Linked DNA regions of Neodiprion lecontei. The protein of the gene in region 1 purifies or fractionates together with the protein of each later gene. This does not show direct contact. Links are inferred from orthologs where the notes say so. Each region holds a gene or a part of one and is shown in the gene's direction. Other genes may lie near its edges.

What was found.
Region 2: the proteins of potassium voltage-gated channel protein Shaker (region 1) and protein quiver purify together in Drosophila melanogaster (affinity purification with western blotting, with the first as the bait; 3 studies listed by BioGRID). This does not show direct contact. The link is inferred for Neodiprion lecontei from reciprocal best matches to the Drosophila melanogaster genes Sh and qvr.

Annotation. Positions count from the first base shown.
Region 1 is NC_060266.1:6,595,297-6,606,098, reverse strand, and holds the start of potassium voltage-gated channel protein Shaker, read left to right. Parts: upstream 1-4,081; 5' UTR 4,082-4,272; coding exon 4,273-4,335; intron 4,336-5,361; coding exon 5,362-5,486; intron 5,487-10,802.
Region 2 is NC_060261.1:30,870,985-30,883,676, forward strand, and holds protein quiver, read left to right. Parts: upstream 1-4,244; 5' UTR 4,245-4,468; exon of another isoform or gene 4,469-5,509; 5' UTR 5,510-5,840; coding exon 5,841-5,865; intron 5,866-5,985; coding exon 5,986-6,033; intron 6,034-6,305; coding exon 6,306-6,452; intron 6,453-6,775; coding exon 6,776-7,014; 3' UTR 7,015-11,838; downstream 11,839-12,692. Other genes in the region: uncharacterized protein LOC107218843, read right to left, coding at 1,640-1,653, 1,803-1,919, 2,363-2,872, 3,057-3,162; NAD kinase 2, mitochondrial, read left to right, coding at 12,276-12,312, 12,683-12,692.

The DNA of each region.
Region 1 (10,802 bases):
AACTTTTTATGAGTATAGGCACAGGTGTATACTCAATGTCAAATGCTCGGTGACCTAGTTTTTTTATAACTACACAACTGCCTTATACGAGTCTAGTTTTCACGTTCTGTAGACTGATAGTTCGTTAAGTAATTGTAGCTTTCGGAAAAATAAAACAGGTCAGATGACACGAAGTCACGCTTTGTAATTGTTTCGAAAACGCAAATGTAGTACAGGTTTCTGTGATCTGATCGATGATCGATGTTAAATTGCTAAAGAATATGATAAAACTTTATCATTTTTCGGACCATTCTGAAGTATTTAGATCTCTGAGCCCTTTTCGGGATGCTTAACATCAATGTCCTATGCTTTAAAGAAAACATCGAAACATATTGAAATCGAATTCAAACACGAAAGCCGGTCAGAAAAGTACAAGAATGATCATCTTTGCTCTTCGAAATCCTTGTTGACCAAAAATACGCGTAATTAATTTTGTATAAAGAACATTTATTACTTGACTAAATATGCCCAGCCACGAATTCAAACAACTGCTCAAATATTCAAATAAAATCCACTCATCTCTTGGATTTCATTTTCTCCGTGTCGCACGCCAATGTGAATCACATTCCGAAGCATAATTTGTCATTATCATGGACTTCGCAATTATGGTAGTCGCAATGAAAATAAACGTTTCAAGACACCGATTGTTTCGTAAAGTGTTAAGTAGGAGCATTTTCGTATCGAAGACGTGAGAATTGCATACTTGGGTACTAAGAGTAACAATTTATCTCCATGATCTCGCTAGGTGAATAGAGAATCTTAGTTGGCGTCCGGATCAGCGGTAGAATCTTGAGGTAACGAGTCCAGTCAGCAGGTTTCCTTCTTATCGCTAGAATTAATCGTATCAGTAGCTGCCATCAGAGTAATTAAGAGGCTGGATCGGTGCGGCAAGGGGTTGCTGTGAGAGGTAGAGAGTCACTATCGATTTCACATGGTCTCCCTGGGCGTCTTCTTACACCGCCAAAGCCTTCTAGAAAGGAAAGGAGAATAAGTTACAGCTAGGCGATGTGATTGCGAACAAGGGAATATTGTAAGGTATATCAAGATTTTTTTAAAAGAGTTACCGTCAAACACTTCGAAACACTTTGGTAACCGTGAATAATCATTCAAGGATACATTTGTAGTATTATTTACATAAATATTCACACCGTACCTACTCATGCTATGATCAGCACCACCAGCTGTCACTGTCGATTAATACGGTACAGCGAATCAGTACTAAACAATGATCAAGGTGTGTCTCGAACACTTGTAAAAGCGTGAATGCGTCACAATACTTCCAAAAGATCTACAAATTGAGTGGTTGACGAGTTTTCTGCTGAATAGTGCTCCAACTTTGACCACACTGGATTCCTCTATGTTAAATGACCTGGTAGAGGATTTGGAATATCAATTTTGTACAATCGTTAGTATTAGCTGGAGGCAAAAACATGGTCGGTTTTATTGGGAGGTAAAAACGCCATTGGAAGTGTGCGTGACTTCTGGTGTGTTGTACGAGGTAAAGAGAAAATATGAATTTCTGTTTTAATCTCTGGTAGTGGTGAATTTTTCATGATGAATGGATCTTGTGGTGGTGTTGTTTCTTTGTTTGCCTTTAGTACGACGTGTTTATTATTTGTTATTTGTGTACATCTGCGATGTTAGCGACGTAACAGGTTCAGTCCGGACCAGCTGATATCGATCATGAATTACATTTGCATGCAACTTAGTAACTAAGGCTTATTTTCGAAGGTGAAACTTTTGTCTGCATTCGTCATTAGTTGTGCTTGTACTACATAATACCTTTTGACATCGAATACACTGAGAGAAAAATATCATGTAACGTTTGTAGTACCGCAATCTGGATTTATGGTTAAACTTACCAAAAATATAATAGTTTTGACCATATTTGCAGTCACGATGACATTTTTCACGGCTAATCTTGACTTTCAGTGAAGATAGAGGACAGATTTTTACCATACTCATTTCTTCCAATGTAATTGGGAAAATTATTGAGAAAATTGAGTGAGACCATTTTCCAGACCTGCGGCATATGCAAAATATAATTGATGTCTCAAGTATACCGTACAACTACATTAAATAAGCTGTGGCATTATATACATACGCACGTGTTTCGGGTAACACGACAGTTATTTTGTATAGCTTCTCTCAAAAACGCGATCTGGTTACGACGCAACTTTGCAGACACGTTAGCAACGGAAACATAAAAAATTATCGCAATGCCTAAAAATCAGCGATGGTTGAATCAATATTTTACCAGTGCACCTTATTTGTTAGGTACTTGGGGTGGTGTCTGAGGGCCAATTAATTAAATGAACAAAGAAGGATGTCTCATTTATAGTCACTCTTTCACAAAAGCTCAATTATTCTGTTGAATTAATGAAGTATATTCATAGTATGTAGTCTTTATTTATGAATAAAATGAGCCAGACTAACGCATTGAACATTTCAATCAGAAAAATCATGCGCACCTGTCACTTGACTAATATCAAAATGTAACCCTTCACAGAGTGATGCTGATTGGGATTAATTGGTCTGGATTTGTCATAGTATTTTTTCAAAGTAGAAAAACACTCTCGTTTACTATGTTTGACCTAAAAAACGCGAGTCGCATTTTTGTGACTCTGAGAACGTGAATTTTAAGCTCGTTAAGCTCATTGTCGCGCGGATGATATTCTGTCGGCAAACTATCCAGACACTATTTATCGGCATACGCTATCACCTTGAATGGAAATTAATATCACCAACCGCTTTCATTTATCACCGTTATCTACTGATTCATCGTTGTTCGTCGACACCAATAATCTAACTTGGCAACTTTATTGCCTTGGCACAAAGTTGAAATAGCTGGAGTTGGTTACAATCAGTGTATAACTGGAGGGCGAGGATGAAAAGAGGACTCGGGATAGAAACTATACCTTCATGCTTTTCACCGATATCACGTTAAGCGAGTAACAAGGTGGCTGCTTGAGAACAAATTGAACTAAACTTTCGAGCTAACTTAATCCAATTTGACATGCTCTCTCTCTCATCTCTACTCGACATTTGACGTCGAAAATCCAAAACGAATTTTGCAATCCTGCGTCAAAATTTCACCAGTATCGACATCAAAACATTTTAGTTCATAGACTAGTTCAATTGAATTATCCGTAACACATATCGATCCAAAGATTGCACTGCAACAAGTTATGGTGACTGCTCAGCTTCTCACGATACGTCAGTCAGAGTGACGAAAAATAAAAATTCCCTTCGTTCCGAACATGCCATCGCAGATTTCACACTATCAATATCGAGCACGGCGTGTCTGATTGAAGTTGCATAATTATACACTCCTACACGAGGTGAGCAACTCCAACCTCAAGACCTAGTCCAACTCAACCTACCACAATCTAGCCAATGCCAACCCCTTCTTAAGCAATGCTTGTCGTCCCTTGTTGCACAGTCGTGGGGTTTAGGAAACCTTTGAAGTATTCCTGTGTGATAAACATACGCAGTGTTTCACCTCGCAGGGCTGTTTTCGCCGTTTCATGTTTCCCTGGCCTTCTAAATCTGATTTACTTTGCGCTCAGAACCGGCAGTGGTTTGCATGTTAGTTTTGCTAACGACACGCCGCGTAAAATCCATGACTTACAAAAATGTCTGAAAACTCTTCGCGTTCAGTTCAAGAAGCTTCACCCTTGCTTTGTTTGAAAATGCGTAAGTTTCGAAAGAATTCCAAGTAATTTCAAAGTTCGACAAGAAGAAGAAGAAGGAAAAAACGGAGATTTGGGATGAATAGTTCGGTACCAAGTGACTGATAACGTGCTCATCTGCCGTTTAAACATTGCACTTCACTCGCTTCTTCAAATTTGCCAACGGGGATACAAAGTGACGGATATTTCACGATCCAGGTGATTGGGTAAACAGTGACGGTAGAAATTTTGTCGGCTGCTAATCGGTACGGCACTGGACATACACGTTAAACGACGTTACATTATAGGTACATACGTGTGTGACGACATGTGTTCAGGCAAAGACTGATCAGTGGTTCGTGGGCTTGGCTGGGGGACGGTAGCTCATTTTGGGTTCAGTGTGTTGTGGACATTGGATTATACACCGTACGTCCGCATTAGAGGAGGAGTTCGGATGTGATAATCGAAAATGACCGGATGATATGGGTGTTGAGGGAGGTTCCTTTTTGGATTTTGTGCTTTTTCTCATATGTGCTAATGTAGCTTTGAAGCTTTTCGGCGTATGCGACGTTTGCATACCGTACACGATTCTCCTTACCGTTCTCATCATTGGCTGCATTCTCATGTGAGTGTTGACACGAAACTATAACACATTGTTATCATTTGTTGTCGACTGTGCAATTTATTCTTCTTCAAAGTATATATACTTGTCAAGGATCATTTCGACGATTTGTACTATTTGAATCAATATTCTTTCATTATGGTGCACACTGGTCCTGGAAATGTCCTTGAATTTATCTTGTGTTCTGAAAATATTCTGTTTTTAATGTGCTTGAATAATCTGAAAATGTCCTGGAAATGTCCTTAAAGTTGTTACAGATTTTTTACCGGACGCCGTGTTCATGCTCAAGCATCTGTCTCTATAATTTGTTTCCAATAATTTTACATACGAATCGTTTCAGTGATCCTAAACTTGTTATATGTATATTCTCATGTACGTACAACCAATCCTCGGGGCCGTCTTCTCCATTGATTCTCTTTGTTCATGACGATACCTCGTTTAGTCGTGTATACCCACAGTGCCTTGTACCGTCGCGCTAGAGAAAATTTTTCAACTGGTAACGTATCCCCGTTTACCGTGTAGAAACTTTCAAGCTCTGTTGTCGGGAAGTTTCTGTGCAGAGTGAAGCTCTCGATAAAAGTCATCCAACGGAGGAACTTGTGGAAAGTTTGATAACAAATTGTACCTAATACTGTCATGCGAAACAGTTTCTGTAGTAGAGAATATGTATACACATGTACGTAGATCGGTATATGTGACTTGGGAGAAAATTGTGCTAAATATCATTGGCCTTCAGCCGTGACTGGACGATCTACCATCGGAGAGACTTGACCGCCAGTTCAGCCCGAGTGCAGAACGGCTGGTAATTTCCAGGACTAGTTCGCATGTCCCTAGATCTCGGGGCTTGGGTTGAACAGCGTAGCCATGGGAGCTGCTGAGCTAAGCGCGGCTAATTCCAGTGTCAAATGTCAAGACGATGGTGAATTACCGTTACGGTGTGATTAATGGCGGCCCGAGGGGTAGTTGACGTACAAACAGCAGCAGCCAGTGGTTGTCGAAATTGACATGATGCATAAACTTGCTTGGCAGCTCCCGTTGGCGAAGCTTCAACGGTCACTCATCGAGATGCTGGATTGGATCATCGGGTTGTTCTTTATCTGGATGCTGTTCCCGGGGCACGGAGCCGGGAAACCGTTTCAACGACGAAAGAAACGGTGATACAGTAGTTAAAACGTCTCAAAGAAGTCTCACAATTAGCTCCACCTTCTTATAGATACTCTGCTACTTCATTGTTAGTCACCTTTACCTCTTGCCTTGAGTAGCTGTGTCGACGAGCTTACTCCCTTTCATTCACACCACGAACGTTATTCTGTAGCGTACAGCTTAACTCACCCATCAAGGCCTCCGCAACCACGAGCCCTTGATCTTTCGAACAGGCTGTCGAGTGGTACCTCATGATTGTACTCGACTGAACTTGACGCCGAAACACTGACGACGAGAGCGAACAAGTTTCTGGAGCGCTGATTGAGATTACTTCAAGGTATCGATTCAAGGAAGGATACGAAATGTTTTGCAAACAATCGAACAATCCCCTTTTTAAACCATTCTTTTTTGCACCCTGACGTGCATCGCGACCGAATACATATTTGAAAATATTAAGACATCAACTCGGAATCTGCTTTGTGATTCTTTCACAAGTCATAATTTGGTCTTTGATAATTGTTACAACTCAGCGTGACCTTGTAGATAAGTCGGTTCGCGATTTTGTGCTGGAATGAATGTTGTTCGATATTATACTCAATTTTTCGACATAGGTTTATTAAGCTTCTGAGAAAGAAACGACCTTGAACAAGTATAACGTCGGATCATTTTTGGTAGCTCTGTAGCTTTTGAAGATAATCGAAACTTTTTAAATGCACGGAGATACGTGATACGGATTTAAATAGATATATATCGGAGTTTTTGAAAATCTTACGACGAAGCACTGGGTCAGAAATGTTAGTCAAGAACTGAAATGCATCGATTAATATTCAGGGTCTTCTAAATATACATAGTGATTCCATAGAACTTCTCTTTCGTCCGTTTCCACGTGGCCACGGAACGTATTACAAGTTGTTATTTTATAATACCCAACTAATCTTGTGCCGAGTAATATTCACACCATTGATCGGACGGCAAAAATTCAGCTTCTAATACGCAGTCGACACTTCGTGTAGAAAGGTAGTTATATAAACTGGTCGGGTCTATAATCATCCCTCTTTATATAATGTAAAACGAGCAAAGAGGGTGAAATTTTTCCCCGCCGTTGAAGTGTAAAATACGAATATTTTAGGTATTCGAAATAATATAAGAAAACGACGGTTCGACGACTCATCGATAGTACTTATCACTTTTCACTTCAACGGTTGAATCCCGTTCAGCCAGTGAAAAGACTGCAGTGAAAATTCTTCGAGAAGAAGGAAAAGTAAAATAGATGACAAAACAGAGCTAAGGAGAGGCGAGTAAAAGCTTGCGCACTCCGGGTGGAGGAAGAGCATGCCCTTTAAAACGTGCTTAACCCATCTTCGCTCTCGTGCTATCGGTACACGTATAACTTTCTTCAGCGCCAACACATCTTACCCTCTAGAGTCGACAAGCTCAAGCTCTTAAGCATCCCTCCATCCTTCAGCCACCGTTCCCAAGTTGGTAACACAGCTGCCTGATTGTTAAAGCTCTCTGCCCATGCCGTTGCAGCAAAGCTTTCCCTAACAAAAAGCTTCGACGACTCGGCAGATTGTTCGTCAACCCTCCGCCGGATGGCGCCACGGTGCAGTAAAGCCGAATTACTAAGAAATCCGCTCGCTGACGCATTCTGGCTGCAGGACCGATTCGGGCGGACGGTTGTAACCGTGGGCGAAGGGGTGGAAAGCACGCCGGCTTGCCTAGATACCAATGGGACGAGGGGCTGGGGGGTGGAAGAGCGGAAGAGTGGGGAGGCGGGAAATCGATGCTAACCTACTGTGCGGGGGTAGAAAACGCCATAGATTATCCCGCATACGGTCTGCGTCGGTCGCTATATCTTTGGAACCAATTCGATTGGTATAGTCGACGACTGGCTGTGACTAAGATTTTGAGGAAAGATCAATTTTTCCAGGAGCAAAATATTTCTCTACCGCACATCCGGCCAAGGAATTATAATTTTCTCTTATAAGGTAAGTGTACCAGTTATTGAGCCTGTCCCAATTATTGACCCTTTTTGGTTGTATCTGTTCGATGCTTACTTCTAAAATTATCAAAAAATAAATTTCTACTGTATAACTCTCTAGCAATTGGTTTTAGTTATCGAGGAATTCACAATTTGTGCCGTAAATTTATAATCTTGGAAAATAAAAGGGTCAATAATTGGGTCTCAGCGTGTCAATAACTGGTACACTTACCTAATACCTACCGATTTCTTTGAACTGCATCTTTCTGCTGCCACAGGATTCTTTTTTCGCATTGTTGATCAAAGATATTCATTTTTTGAGGTGCGGTACTTTACGTAAATTGTACCATCAGTTTGGTAATTTTTATTCAAGCACGAGTTCAACGAATTTCTGAATACCTTGGGCTGCGATGCTCTTTGGTTGGGTTGAGATATCAAACGCAGAGAAACAAAGAAGAGAGGCTTTCTGGTAGGGTACACAAAAATGTAGTTTCTGTATTCACAAGAATTCAGAAAACCCTTAGCTGTATCAGCAGTAATATTGCACGTACTGCAAATTCTGTTTCGCATTAAGCAACTGGCAAGGAACATCGCGAGCAGTGGGAAAAGTTCTTTCTATCCAAGCAAAGAATTCTAGTTTACCTTGCACTGAATAATTTTTTCCTCCTTTTTCCGACTGAGATAGCCACAGATGGTGGTTTCCTGAATGGGTCAGTCGGTACCTTAACGTTTAAGGTTGCAGAACATAGTTCAATCTTTTTTCCAAATCCTCGAATTAATCCCAATTGGGCTTGCTGGAATTTCTATTGATTTATTGTTTTAAAAAACAGAGTGAATTTTATTTTCAGTTTACCGACTCGTTCGTCTACACGCATCATATCCTTTACAAGAATATGTAAAACACGACAAATTGCGCATGATTTGTCGTTCTTTTTTCCTCCCACATTCTCTTGAATCACAGCTGCCAACGCTCACCGTTTCTCTCACAATCAGCACTCTTCATTCTAGACCATCCATTTCTTCCATATCTTTCTCATATAACAATATCTTGATCAAAAATTGTTGGACAGATCAACTGTCCGAAAATTTCAAAACGAATTTTGCTGTCAGACGAGGATAGTCAGGATACTACAGTGATATTTGCAATGCTTTTTTCTTCCATCTTTGAAAAATATTACAGAAATATTTCAGCTGAAACTACAAATTTTCGGTAACGTAGACGCGACTTCACAATATTGTTCCAGGGAAAATTTCTTGTGATACGAGAAGTGTATTTAATCCTTAGCGTTCGAGCATCGATCTACTTTTTTTGCTATCCCTGATCACAGACTAATTCACGGAATAAAGGGTAGCGTAGGGAGAAGATGAGAAGGAAGCTTTCGTAGTTGACCTAATTCCCCCAATTTCGTTTGGCTGGTCGTTACTGCATGTTATTTTTTATTTTTTTTTTTCGTTTTTCACCACTCGACTCATTTCAAATATTCATATATCGGATGACCGAGTGAAACGTATTTTGATTCTATCAAGGGAATTCCCATATAATTCTGGCGTTTTCTTGTTATTGAAATGAAATCTTGAAGTTTATCGACTCGTTAAAATTTACTAGAACACTGAGTTACTCATCCAGTAAGCTACGCGGATATGGGTTGAAAAATTCTTGGTATAAAAATTGTAACATAATCTGACCAAGATCTTTCATTAGTTTATTGGATAAGAAATGTGGCAGGTAAAGTATAGATTCGCTGGAGGTTGTCTAACAAGATTAACGATTGGTTAACCTCTTGCCTAGGCTTGGCTAGGTTAGACAAGGTTAGACAAGGCAAGGTGAGGCGAGAAAAGTAAGTACAGGCCAGACTAGGCCGAGCCACAAATACCGCCTCATCCCTGCAGATTATCAATTTTTTCCTAGCTCACGCCAGGTAAAAGTTTCGACGTAAAAATTTGACAGCTTTATAGTCGTCGCTAGCTATGTAAAATATTTGGAAACACTGAAAGGGAATCCAGTTGAAAAAGATCTCAATTTTCAATATCAAACACTAGCACGTTGTGCAATAAAATATGTGTTTCCTCAAAGGGATGAAATTAAAGGGAGAGTTATTCTTTTTCATTGCTCGGTGCATTGCATTGTAGTTCGGTAAAATACTTCTTCAACTCAATTTCAGAAGTACTTTTCTGTCCAGCACATTACCACAATACGTCTAGTTCCTTCTTTCAGTTATCTTCTCTTGTTGTTACATATCTATTGATTATTTACTTTAAGAAAAATTCACCCTTATTCAAAAGTCTCTCAAAGAAGCGCTGAATTTGAATATTAATTCAGTGTCCACATGAATAATTGCGCCAGAAAAAATAACGGGAACTAAGAATAATACATTTTAAGCGTTCTTGGGAATTTTTTGGTAGTTAGGCTTTGATGATGCATCAATTTATTTCAAATCAAATTGTGATCAAACATTGGCTCCGTATTGGTCTATATTGAAATGGAATAGACTAATTTTTATCGAATAATTAGATACTTGTAATATCAATATGTGTACTTTTGCCTGGATGCAATAAGAAATTAGAGACACCGAAATTATTTCTTAATATTTATCTGAGAAATCGCGTACGAGCAATAACTGTTTTCTAGATTTGAATTATTGAAAATTTACCGATTTGCAGATACAATAAGTATATCACTGGATAAAAATCAGTGCATGTACTTTGATAATCATTAAAAAAAACTAGTGAAAAGTCACTAAATAGTCGGTGTATATGCTTTGATTGTTTTCAGTGGTATAAATACTTATAAGTTGGAATCAGTTAATTTCTACTGCTACATATTTGAAAAGTGCCGAATGCCGCGAAGAAAATCTTAATTTCAAAATTTGAACGAAGTACTAAAACTGTTGCATTTTATACCCATTATTTTTGCACAAGACTCGAAATGGTAAACGATCTTCTTTCAGGTGTTTAGGCAACTGGTGCAATTTTTTCATTTAACCAAGATGTGGAATAAATATTCATGACTTTTCCGTTTATTTGAAAACTGTATAAATTTTGAGAAATTTATTTAAACTTCAAACGAATGTGTATTTTTGTTTTTCAATAAGTTGGTTGATTTTAGTACAATGATAATTCAAAAAAAGTATCATCTCCAATAAATCTTGACTTTAAAAATAATCGTTATTCCAATGAAGACAGTTTCATAGTATCCGGTCATTCGGCGATGTATAATAAATCTGAGATTTAGTAAATAATTTCACCACTCAAAAATACGTGCTAAGGAACAAAAAAAAAAAAAAAATATGAAATGAAACGAAACAATGATTAAGTCCAACCGGATACAAGACGTTTATCGTAAAAT
Region 2 (12,692 bases), on another chromosome or scaffold:
TGCGTTTACAGTGATTATTGCGGTGAAAAAAAATATTTTCATGCACAAAATGTTACTCACAATGAAAGAAAAGAAAGTCCACGTAGAAGTGTTGAAAAAAAATTTGCTCCAATTTTCACTCAAACCACTATAAGTTACACACAGGTGACAGATTGACCCCAAGCTCACTTTGAACTGCTCTAATTCGCAGCTGACGCACGACTGATCTTGCCTATCTGTTTGAATACAAAGTTTGAACCCTCAATTGAAGGTAGATGGTGGGGCAGGTCAAAATTCCAGCGGGAACAGTTTGAAAATTTCGAGTGTAAATGGTACGGGGTTAAAGTTTTCTCTGTATAACAAATATACGACATATAGTATAGTTTAAAATTTCGCAGATACCTATCAAATTAAAATCATTTCCAAATTTGATCAGACGAATATTTCCCCAATCGATAAGTAAACCTGCTATTATTAAAAATGGCACGAACATTTCTCTTTCAACTAGAAAATATCGAAAACTACTATAATCGGAAGAATATATGTGCTTACCGGATTTTTTTTCTAGTTGTACATAATAATATTGACAGTATATAAACAAGGTACAATTATTTACTATTTTGTTAATCGCTTTGCAAAGCCTGACATTTTTTTTTCTCATTGTTGTGTAGTGAATTAGTGAAACTTTGATATTTTGAGACTTGTCAGATTTTTCTTCAACTCCAATTACATTCACTACGACGACTTCCGTACGACATTAGTTTTCACTTTCCATCACCCTCGTTGATGTAAGGAAAGTATTGGTTTTGGTCGAAATTCACTCTTTCTAATTTCAACGAATCTTTACGTTTTCGGACCTCTAGTAATCCGACAAACAGGTTTTTAAAAAAATGTCTTTCCGGATGTCCATTTGTCGGTTTGTCCGACAAACTCCCGCGGTGATCTCGGGATCTGGCAATATTTTTCCCCGCAGCTTTATAATGCAATGTTCGTTATTGATATTTATTAAGATTGGATACGTGAACGAGAAAAAGTAAAGTATAAAAGAAAAATAAAAGCGGAAACTAAGCCGTAGTGAATAAATTCCCGTTAGCCTGGTACTTAGGGCAAATACCTCTAGAACATACCTGAGTCCCGTCAAAATCCATTTGTAACATGTTTGAGGGTCCAGTTGTCAGGAGAATAGAATTGTTATAAATTATTCATCACTTCAATGACGTTAGTTGTACTGGAATTGAAACTAATATTATTCACCTCGATACTGAGTGTTCATACCGGCAATTCTATTTAATTTGTAACTCAAGATACACAAGTTTTTCCTGTATTAATAATTATTCTCCATACCATGTTAATCGTGTGCAATTATTGGCCGTCAGATTAAAGCAAAATCAGGAATGATACAACGCGACAAAACGTTTTTCGCTTATGTTTTTTTCATTCTATATTTTTTCAAGAATAACGCTGCAGCCACAAAATTCTTTCTCATTATATCATTCGGTGTAGCACCATTACACCGACCACAACCTAATCATCTGAACGGTTTCATACGTTCATACTTAGCACGATGAACTTGAAAAAATAATGAGAGTCCATACGTCTCCCAAATCGTAGACTAATAACTTCCGGTTCCCGTGGCTCTTATACTGGTTTGCCCATTGTACTAGCGACTTGAGCCTGAAATAAAAAATAATTAGTCAGAGGAAATGAGCTTGAAGTACTTTCATATACCGCTTGCTGGTTTATACTTTTTTTCGATTTTCCGAATAGAACAAGATCACCACGACACGTAGTTTATATTTCACAATACAGATGCTGCAACTTACCTGCCGGAAATATGCCACCCGGTATCAAGCCTACTTGCTTGTGATATTCCTCATCCGACAACGGATACTTGAGCCATTCCTTCAGAGATTCCGGTGGTGGACGGGTTCCGGGGTTGTCTGGAAACGAATATCTCAAAATGATCATGAATGTTTGTGGCAGACGCAGGCGAATAATTCACTCACTGTTAACGCTACGAACAACGGTAGGAAAAATTGAATCTAATCACATGTTTTCTTTCTTAGAAGTGGTTGTATGTGTACTATGTGTGGTATAGTTTCTACACATGGAAGTGGAATGCTATTCATATGGTCTCACACTTATCCGGATACTAAGTATCTAAAGTCTGAGTAAAGTCAAATAACGTGAAATTGTTAACAAAGATGCAAAAGCTTAAAGTGAGCAGTACTTTGGGATATGGTCGACTACATTGGCTTTAAATATCTCCTTTGACTTCACTTTCTGCTAGTAATGAGTAAGAAATAAGTCGCTATGTGTGATACTAGGGATTGTAGACATGGACGCCACTATCTTCACCGTATATATATATTTGTCATCCTACCGATAATTCCAGGATTATTGGGATCGAACAATTGTCTCCTGTCGATGGCGTCACGGAATTCATCGCTTGGCATTCGGCGAACGAAGAATGGTGGTTTGGGATGAACAGGTGCTGGGAAAAGCGGGGGAACAATTTTTTCCGGTGGAGGCTCCGTAGGGGTGTCAGTTTGTCGTTCGAAATGGTTCTGCTCGTTTCTATTGAGGGAACTCAGCCGCTGGGTCATGGCACGCGGCCGCTGTGACTGATCTAAGCGATACCGTTCAAAGTCATGCGGTGACATTCGGCCAAAGATAGAATGTGTACCGAGAGAGCGGGACTCAGGTTCGTGAGTTTTCTTGGATGTCTTTTCTGAGTCTTGCGTATGGGGTTCCATCTGCGTTTGCGATTTCGATGGTACCAGGTATTGGCGAGCCAAGGATCGGTCCGGAGATGGTTCGACGAGCGGTGAAAATTGACGCATACGATCCCCATGATCCGAAATCTGTTTCACCCAGTTGAGCCGGGATTCCACTAATGAAAAGGATCATAGATTGGAAGACCGCAAAGTTATGAGAAAATCTTTAAAATCACATTGCGTGTAATAATCTTTTGCCAATCATGGAGAAGTTACGATATTGTGTCGTAGGATTTTTTTTAAAGAAGTTACACTCGCTTGTAGAGAAATGGTTTTTCTTTGTTATTAATTTTCTCGTACCGTATTTCAATGCGCCGCTCTTGACTCCAATCAGCAAGCATCCGTTTGAAATAAAGAGCATCAGCACAGCTTGCTGCAAGTGAAGATAGCGAACCCAATGAGCCATTTTTTCAGAGTTACACCTGTACAGAAAAATGTCATTAGTATATATGTAATATATATATACAGTTATATACATACGGTGATTCGGTATTGCGAAGGAAAAAAAAATCACGATAAAAAGGTAAAAAATGTACGTATAAATATCATTTTAACCCAGTATTCCGGCTACCACCGTACTTCTATGTGGCACAACGGTGTACGCAAGCTGTGGCGATAGTAAAACATAGAAACATTATAACCAAGTAAAGCTGTGATCTAAGGTGGGGGAGATTTCGCTTAAGATTTATACGAGTCTGATGGAAATTGTTATTGAAAAGCGTTTGATTAACCGGTAAGTAATTACATTACAAGTGAAAGATTGTTCTTTGGTTTTGTTGATTTCATGGCATGAAATAGGAATAAGTAATACGGAGCCTAGTTATGAAATATCCATTGTTCTGTTACCATGCTGATTACAACAAATAATTGATCAGCTATTAACCTGGCTATATCATCGTGGTCCAGTTTTGGAAATTCTTGTTGTAAAATCAATACCAAGTTTCATAACACATGGTAATTAATTGAATGGTCCATCGATTGATTTTGCAGGTATAGATTCAATTGCTCGAAAAGCGCAGATTATACGGATGTTTCAAACATTATCAATGTTAAAAATTGACTATTTTTCCGTCAAGTTTATTTAATGTTATAACACTGCGAAGAATCCGATAACAATTCTGATCGTGACTGATGATTTCGTTAAAATGATCTTCAATTGTTTCAACACCTTTTTGCGGAGAAATCGTCAGAAGAATATTTTGTCTATTTGCAAACAAGTTACAATAATCATACTGGTTATTTGTTAAAAATATGTACTTGATGTAAATGAATTGAAAATTATGGAAAAATAAAAATAACGATGAAATGTATAAAGCATGCTGATTTTTTCCATAAATTTACCACTGCGCTTACGTTGTGCATTGTGATTACGTGTATAACGTATACAGCAATGCGATATTCAAACTTGACGCAGGACCCCGTAGCCATTTTACGCTTGCGCGAAGCTTTCTTTGTAACGCAGAGTATCTGAGCTTTCCTCCGCGGTGCCGCTGCAGTAGAATATATTGATCCGCCATCGCAAGTTCTACTTTCAAACCTTGATATGCCTGCCTTTCGACGTTTACCTGCATTTTCGAAGTGAATCATTACGTTCCTCGATTTTCATAAGTCGTGATGCGGTGTGCGGTTTTTTCAAACGATAATAACAATGCGCAATAACAATAACAACAATAATAATAATAAATATAATAAACATAATACCGATCAAATATGTGGGTGACGTGCCATTCATTTTAAAATAAATATGTATATTCATACCTCAAATATCTCCGTTGCGTACATACGTATATACAAGCGCATCGATTGACAATAATTTTTCAATAATATTTCATTACCAATATCCAATCCTGATATTTGATAGCCCAGTGGGAATTGGAAGAAAATGAATCTCAGCATGCGCAATTATTTTGTATCCTAATACAGGGATAGTCATTTTTTAATTGTGAAAATACTTTATCGAATCAGCGAATAACAATTTCGCGTATAATTGGCCTGCGCGATTTAACTTGATTCAGAACTAATATGGGTTTGATACCGGTTTTTCTTTTTTCTAGTTTACCTTCACAGAGTGACAATCAATTCCTTGAGAGACTTACCGATAATGTGAAATACTGCAATCGCGTTGTCGCGCTTTGTAATTAGCTAATTTAAATATATGTTGATTGAATGAATAAAATTGATTGAACTTGTATTATATTTTGACTTAATATTTTTGACTTAATTTATAAATGTTATATCTAGAGATTATTACGACTAGCAATGAGTGGATCAATGCGTCAAAAACTATTCAATTATTGAATTAAATATTGATTTAATAGGGAGAAATGAAAAAATTAAGAAATAGCGAACTGCTAAGGATTTCATTAATTCAGATTCGGGTTGAAGACGGACTAAAATAGTCACGCTGACCAATTCAATAATGATAAGAAATAAATATTCGTAAATTATTCCACTGCTTATGAGTAATACATATCACAAGATTTTGCGTAACAAGGGAAGCCTTAATTTACGCTAATACCATTTTCTGGAATTATTGCATTACTTGGTGTGGCCTAGATAGTCTTAAAGTAAAAAACACAGTGTCGTAGCTGGTACATATAATAATATAAAGAAGAATTGGTGTATTTACTTTGTAATCCAGTTAGAATTCTCTGTTTCCGTTCTGCAGTTTGACGCAGTTTGTCCTATTCGAAATTACTCTGTATGTTAATCAAAATTTTTTCCGCCATTTCGCATCAATTTTCCTTATATAGGTGCTCAAAGAAGGGTAAAACGCCGATGCATGAATGAGTGGGAAGCATAGCTCCGATAATCCACTCCAAAAAATACGAAACGTGTTCACAAATTGAAAGATTTAATAATTTCGAGGAACAATACAATTACTATAAACCGGAATCGCATGCAAAAAAAAAAAAAAAAATATAAAAAAATTATTACCATATACGTAAGTCGTAAAGAAAGTGCCATGAATCATGGTGTTACAATGGTGCGATAGTCCATTTTAAGACTTAGAATTACGCAAAGGACCATGATGAATGAAATGAGTACACCAATCGATAAGTGCAGTAATTAATCGCGTGCAGAATGGGGTCTGATTATCTGATAGCTGGTGAGTTTCTTTTTTTTTTTCGCGTTAAGGTCGCAATTCTCATTTAAATTTAGAATTTCATCTCGAGAAGAAACAACCGGGTCAACGCTTCTCAAAGGGTTTACCATTCGCATTTTTCAGCCGCTATTTTACTCGCTACCATCAACGCCAGTTACGCAGAATGTCAGAGTAAGTGATCGTTAAATTGCATAGCTGCGCAAATTTTTATAATTAGAATAATATTTCCATGTCCATTTTCACACTTATGAAGATTCGTAAGAATGCAGATTCGGTGACGTTGGTAGAAATTTTTTCAACGATTGGTTTAAGGTTTCTTAGAATTGAAAAAAACTAGTTGCATGGAATATGAAAATACTTGTGGTAAAATGAATATTCCCTCTTCGGAGAGACATAGAACATTGATACGTGTTAAAACCCTTGCCTCGAACTTACGTCAACAGCAAGGTCCGTCTACTGCTACCAGTGCGATTCGTGGACGGATCTTAGGTGCAAGGATCCCTTTAATTACACCGCCCTGCCCCGTGATCAACCACCTCTAATGACGTGCAACGGATGCTGCGTCAAGATGGTCCGCAATGCCAAGTCACGTGAGCATTATACAGCAGTAATATAATTGTTTAAACGAGAAATAAAATGTGTCTAACAATAAATGACGATAAATGCGCCGTGCACATCGATACACCGGGAGAGTTTTCTGTGAAACTCACCGTTCGACGCCAGCAGTTAGGCAACCAAAGTTACATTCCGTATTCCTTGCGGGCAGGCACGTGATTGGAATGTGACTTCGGTTGCCTATCGGCAGGCGTTGACCGTTGAGTTTCACAGAAAACTCTCCCGGTATAACGCAAGAAGAAACGGTTGCGCGGAGTGCAAAAATTTCACGTGAAACATTTGACACTTGTGTTTTCAGCTTACGAAAGCGTGAGGAGAACCTGTACGTCGCAACTACAGATAAACTTGTTTATGGTGGACCACGTGTGCATGATGGAAAGTACCGGCACTGGTCACATGTGCTTCTGTGAGGAGGATATGTGCAATCGAGTCGGGATCTCCTCCCTCCCGTCACCCATTCTCCATGCAATCCTCGTACCTGTTGTTACACTGTCCATCCTAAGATCAGCTCCAGGCTTGCTTATTAGGTCGCTGTGATGATGAACCATATACCTATAGTGACACTCATATATACTTATTTACTTACTTACTTCCTTCCTTACTTCCTTACTTGTTTACTTACTCGTTATTTATATTATACCACATGAAACTTCACCCAGTAGTAAAGCAAACGCGGAGCCCTGTAGTGAAATTGTAGAACCAATGCAAGGGCTTGCTTGAAATTTTAGAGAATATAGGTATGTGAACGTTAATTGAAGAGATGAGATGAGATGAAATGCGGAATGAAACGTCACGAAGCTTTTAATGCAATACGAGATTAGATTTGAATTGAAACAATGTATAATACGACGGTCTTCACTACGCATTGGCCGTCGTTTTACCAATTGCACTCCATACCACATTCATCGTTCGTGCGAATATAAAATCTGACGAATCATATTATTGTTTGATAACTGAGCGGAATGAGGGCTATTCGTTACACGAGGAACCATACAGTGATCATATCTTATACGACGAAATCCTTAAATGTAGATGTAGAGAATTTTTCCTCAAATTATTATTATAAAAAAAAATTTTAGTCTTAGATTCAAATTCGACATATCAGTCTTCGATATGCTATATTGCTAGGTATGCGGTAATTGTAATAATCAGCAGAAATGCGCCGTAGTGAACTTGGATCTTTCTATTACAATTTTTCAAGTTCCACGTTGCAAATCGTTTCCCGGCATACAATGTGCCGTGGATTAAAATTTGTTCGTCAATTGAAACGATGAATAACTGGAACGATAATGGATCAAGTTATCCTTCATAAGATGTATTCGTCAAGGTTTTACACAAGTTTTATATAGACTTTGTAGATTTTGTTTTTATTTTTATATTCTTATTTGGGTTAGTTTTTATTTTTTAATTAGTTATTCCTTAACTTAGTTTATCTTCTTTCGTCTTATATTCATTTTATAACTACACAGAGGCACACATTCTGCTATAAACAAGAAAACCGGGCAGCATGATATTTCGCAAGATGTTTGCAAGGCTAACGTAATAATTTTCTCTTCTACAAAAAAGCAACAAAACTATTTCGACTTTGATTACTAAAAACAGCATCAATCTACAGACTATACATATGGACAGCCTATGATTGTAAAATTACACGTAGTGTCTGTACTGAATTGACTTTTTATTTTGGTTTGCATCCTATTATTTTTAACACAATTGTATAAGGATACTAGAGTAGCAAAATAGAATGTGGAATGAAATACTCGATTGGTCTTGAGTAACTTGCTGTCAGTTTTCGACATAGAATGAAAATAGAATATCTTTTGATACGTGTGAAATAAGGCAAAGACAAAAATTGACTAAAGCGTATAAACAAGATAATTAGCGAAAAATACTCTGAAAAAAGAATCGTTTCGTAGTTAAAAGCTACATACAAAAGACCGATCAGACAACATTTTACATAATTTAATCCAATCTACGTAGGTGTAGGTATGTTTTACTCGAATAACGAGCATTCACATGTAGCACAAGTAGATGAAATGCTGCATACTAATAATAGGCGTAACTACACGCGCGAGTTATGAGCATGACCACATATTATAATAGGTATACACGATTGACGAAAATATTTCCAGATTTCGCAATTATGTGCATCAATAATAATGATAATAGTAATAATGAATATTAAATAAATATTGACAATGATAATAATCAAGATAGGAATAATATGATAATCAAGTGAGTATGAATATTTTTAACGATAAATAGAATAATAATTGAAGGATGTCAAAACTATTAAAAGTGGCAACGGTACTGTATATAATTTTTGGAAATATTTTTGCCAGTAGAAAACACGTAGATAGAAGTATAAAAATAATAGATAGTGATATTGGCAATATGTTATGATAATATGTGCGGGAATGACAGTGTACAATTGAGACGTTTCTTAAGTTGAATAACGTTTGGCATAATCTACAGACTTCCGTCAGTCTGCATGTGTACGTATATCACATGTAATATTAATTTTTGCGGGGTAGCGTTTAAAATGCTCACCTAAATCCTAATTTTTTACATTAGAACTGAACAGTTTTTCTTCGACGAAACGAGAAAATGCTTCGTTATTTTTACTATACATTTTGCAATGCATATAAACGGCATGCGATAGGTTCAAATGACGTTCTCTAACACCTTTGAGCATTTAGTTGATGGTGCTACCATTATTTGAGCCAGTGGTTTTACAGTATTCAGGTCATTATGACCTAATCATTAATCCATGACGATTATTATAAAAACAATTCGATTTACCCAACAATTCAAAACACCCAAAATTCGTTCTGGTTTAATTGACTTGAGATAATAGGTTGAAATGAAACACACGCCGTAACTTTAATTTTCATTGTTATTGAGAAATTTTTATCATCATTTGGTAAGTACCAGGTATGAATATGAATTTCACAATTGCTTTTCTCTATGTTGTCGTACAGTGAATGTGTAACGTGAAATTGAGTAAAATGAAAATGGAAGATGCTTTTACACTGCATGAAACTGCAAGACTATATATGCAATTATATACTATTTCACCAACTATTTCTTCTATAATTCTATCGTCTCCACGTCTAAACTACTTGTCTGAAAAAATATGAACAAGCTTTTACAATTATGAAGCTTTTTTTTTAAATAGATGGGAAAATTAATTGCGCACATCTTTCCATATGTGTCGCATTATATTAACTGATGATTGAGCCAGCGTTACTGACAAGCGTTTGTTATAATAGAAAAGCAAAAAAAAAAAAAATTAAAAAATAAAAAAAAAAAAAAACTCGAACGAACTTTTGTCCATTACATTTAAAATTAACTATAACAATACTAAAGCTCAATTTTCTTGGGCAAGTAGACTATATCCACCTTTCCACCCTTATATGAAAGCAAGTAAGCACTACGTGGGCCTTCAGCTTAAATATCGCAAGTCTTGGGGTGAATTATGCAAGTTATGTATAAGTGATAGTGGCTTTAAGAGACCAAGGATCGATTTTCTAAGCTGAACGCCCATTTCCTCACAGAAAGGCTTTGTACTCGAGCCTTTTGCCAAATTAATTTCGCAGCTTGTATATAATACTATACGAAAAGTTGAGCGAGATTTCTCTGGCAAGCCATGCAGCTCGTGTCGTGTCATTTATTCATTATAGCACGCGCGACTGCGGGGTCATATCGACGTTTTATCGTTTATACAAAAACATTTCTTTTTTGTGCTCACAACTAATCGAACCCTTCGCAAGTTTCCAAAATTGATCAAAGATCAATAATGATAGGTACGTCGAAATCAACCCTGAGTGACGGTGTCGAATAGTATATACGTAATAAAAAAGATATATCAACGGCCTATTTTGTCAATGATAGAAAAATTCTCTTCTATTTATTTTGAAACTGGCCTCGCAGTCGAATTATATCCACTACAAAACGAGCGTAACACAACGTCAACTACCGAAACTCAATTTAGTGTTATATTATTTTTCGAGTTTTATTCTTACATGTATATGTATTTTTGAATCGTCTACTGCGAGAGAAAAATATTGCATCGTTCTGTTGTACACGATTCATACCAATTACAGACCGTTTAAAGCTAATTTATTATTGTTAAATATGTACGTGGACCGTATGTATGTAAAATATTTTATCTGCAATTTTCAACGTATTATACATACATACACATATAGCGGGTATTTTATATGTGTTGCACCCATGATATAATTATTAACCAACATGCAAAAGTCATGATACATCATCTCTGTAATATGATACTGATGTATCGTATATTATCATTACATTGCCAACACTTTGGGGAAAAATTAATTTCCTTAATTTTCTTTACTTTTTCATTCTTTGTTTCATTTTGGGTGAAAAAAAGTAATCACGAATAACATCTCAAATCGTGTTTGGTTAATGATTTTTTACCAACGTTTGATTACCGCTTACATGTGAATATTTTCTTTTGAGATAGTAATATTTCTGTTTCAAATATCAAATGTAAATATAATAAGTTTATATCAATGGTGACGTAGGGGCACAGAAATTGTTGAAGACTTCGCTACTTTGATTGATAAAAAAATTTTATCAATCTACCAAGGTGGAAAGTATGATCGTTAAGTGAATCGTAATTAACTCTTTTTCTTTGCGATGTTGTCCTCAAGGCTGTTGCCGCTACATTTAACATAAGCGAGTAAATTGGCTCAAAATGTACACATATACATGCAGATACACAGGTATAGGTATATGTATATGTACACGAATCGTTACTACGAGATTACATCTCAATACTTACATATTACATAATATGATAAAAGTTGATAGATTAAGTATATATCAATTAATATCGTTTTTTTCGCGAAGAAGGACGTTGTATCTATAATATTAAGATGTTTTCGACAAATGCAAAATTGGGTATATGAAGAGAAAAAGAAGTAGAATTATTATTTTTTCTTGTTGCATCGCTTAATACGATCAATGGCGTTTTCAATCGTTTAAAAATATTAAGTTACTACATAAAAACAGTCATACACGTATAGGTACAATATGTAGGATGAATATTATACGTACACACGTTTATACGACGGTGCGTGAAATACCATTAAATTTTAAGAAGTGCATACTGCAAAACATATGTGATTATAAGAGAATTATAATATTGTTACGTTAATAATGGCGTTGAGAGAAGGAAAAAAATTATCATTGTAACTCGTACGTAAACACATCGATAAAAGACATCTCATGTTATACATAAGGATTCAAAAATAAAACTTATATTGACAAAATTGATGATAAAATAATCCATGGCAAATCGTTAATAAAAAGTGCTAGAGCAAGTAATACGGTCTATTTTCATTCTAGCTTAATGTATATCCTTTTACAGGTGATGCGAAGTAATGCAGTAATTCATCTTGTAAGGGATATTAAAAGTTTAAAAATATGCTAATGGCAGTAAGGGTCGTACGGTAAACTCCAATAGTAGCCGAATAACAGATTATTGAGCTTTAAGAATAGATTTTTGTTTATAAAAAATACCACCAGGAAGTTTACTTTCGTTTTTATCCAGTAGAGTCCCTATAAACTTTAACAACCACGAATATTTCCTACAAGAAAGTCCGTCTACATAACGTGTTAACCAAGGCGTAAGCGCTGTGTGCAATTGCTGCGCGTGGCCAATATCCAGACTCCAGAGGTTATAAATGTTTTATGAAATAATCTAATCAAGTTACAAGCACGTAATCGAAGATTGATGTGCTCAATAATTTTTTACGTGTAAAATGACAGCGCTTGCTCTATTGCATAGGAAAGTAAGCAGTGAGTAAAAACCCTTAACATTATATATAAATTACGAGAACCTAACCGTATTATAAGATTATGATCGCAATTGTCATTGCCAAAGCAGACGGCACTCAAGAATCGCAACAGTTTACCGGAGGGCGTGAGGAAGGGTGGGAGGGAGGGAGGGATCAGCCGTTTTGTTAAGTCACAAACAACGTAGATGATACACAGACAAGCTTCTCGAATACAAATGTAAGACATGGCGCGGGGAAATTTGAATTTCGAATTATTTGAAAATATAAATTGTTTGAAAAATAACAAATTTGTTCTTCGCTGTTCACTTTTTAGAACCACTGTTACTTTTTTTTGTATCTACTTTGGTGTGAATTCTACGTTTTATTTTCAGGAACTTTTCA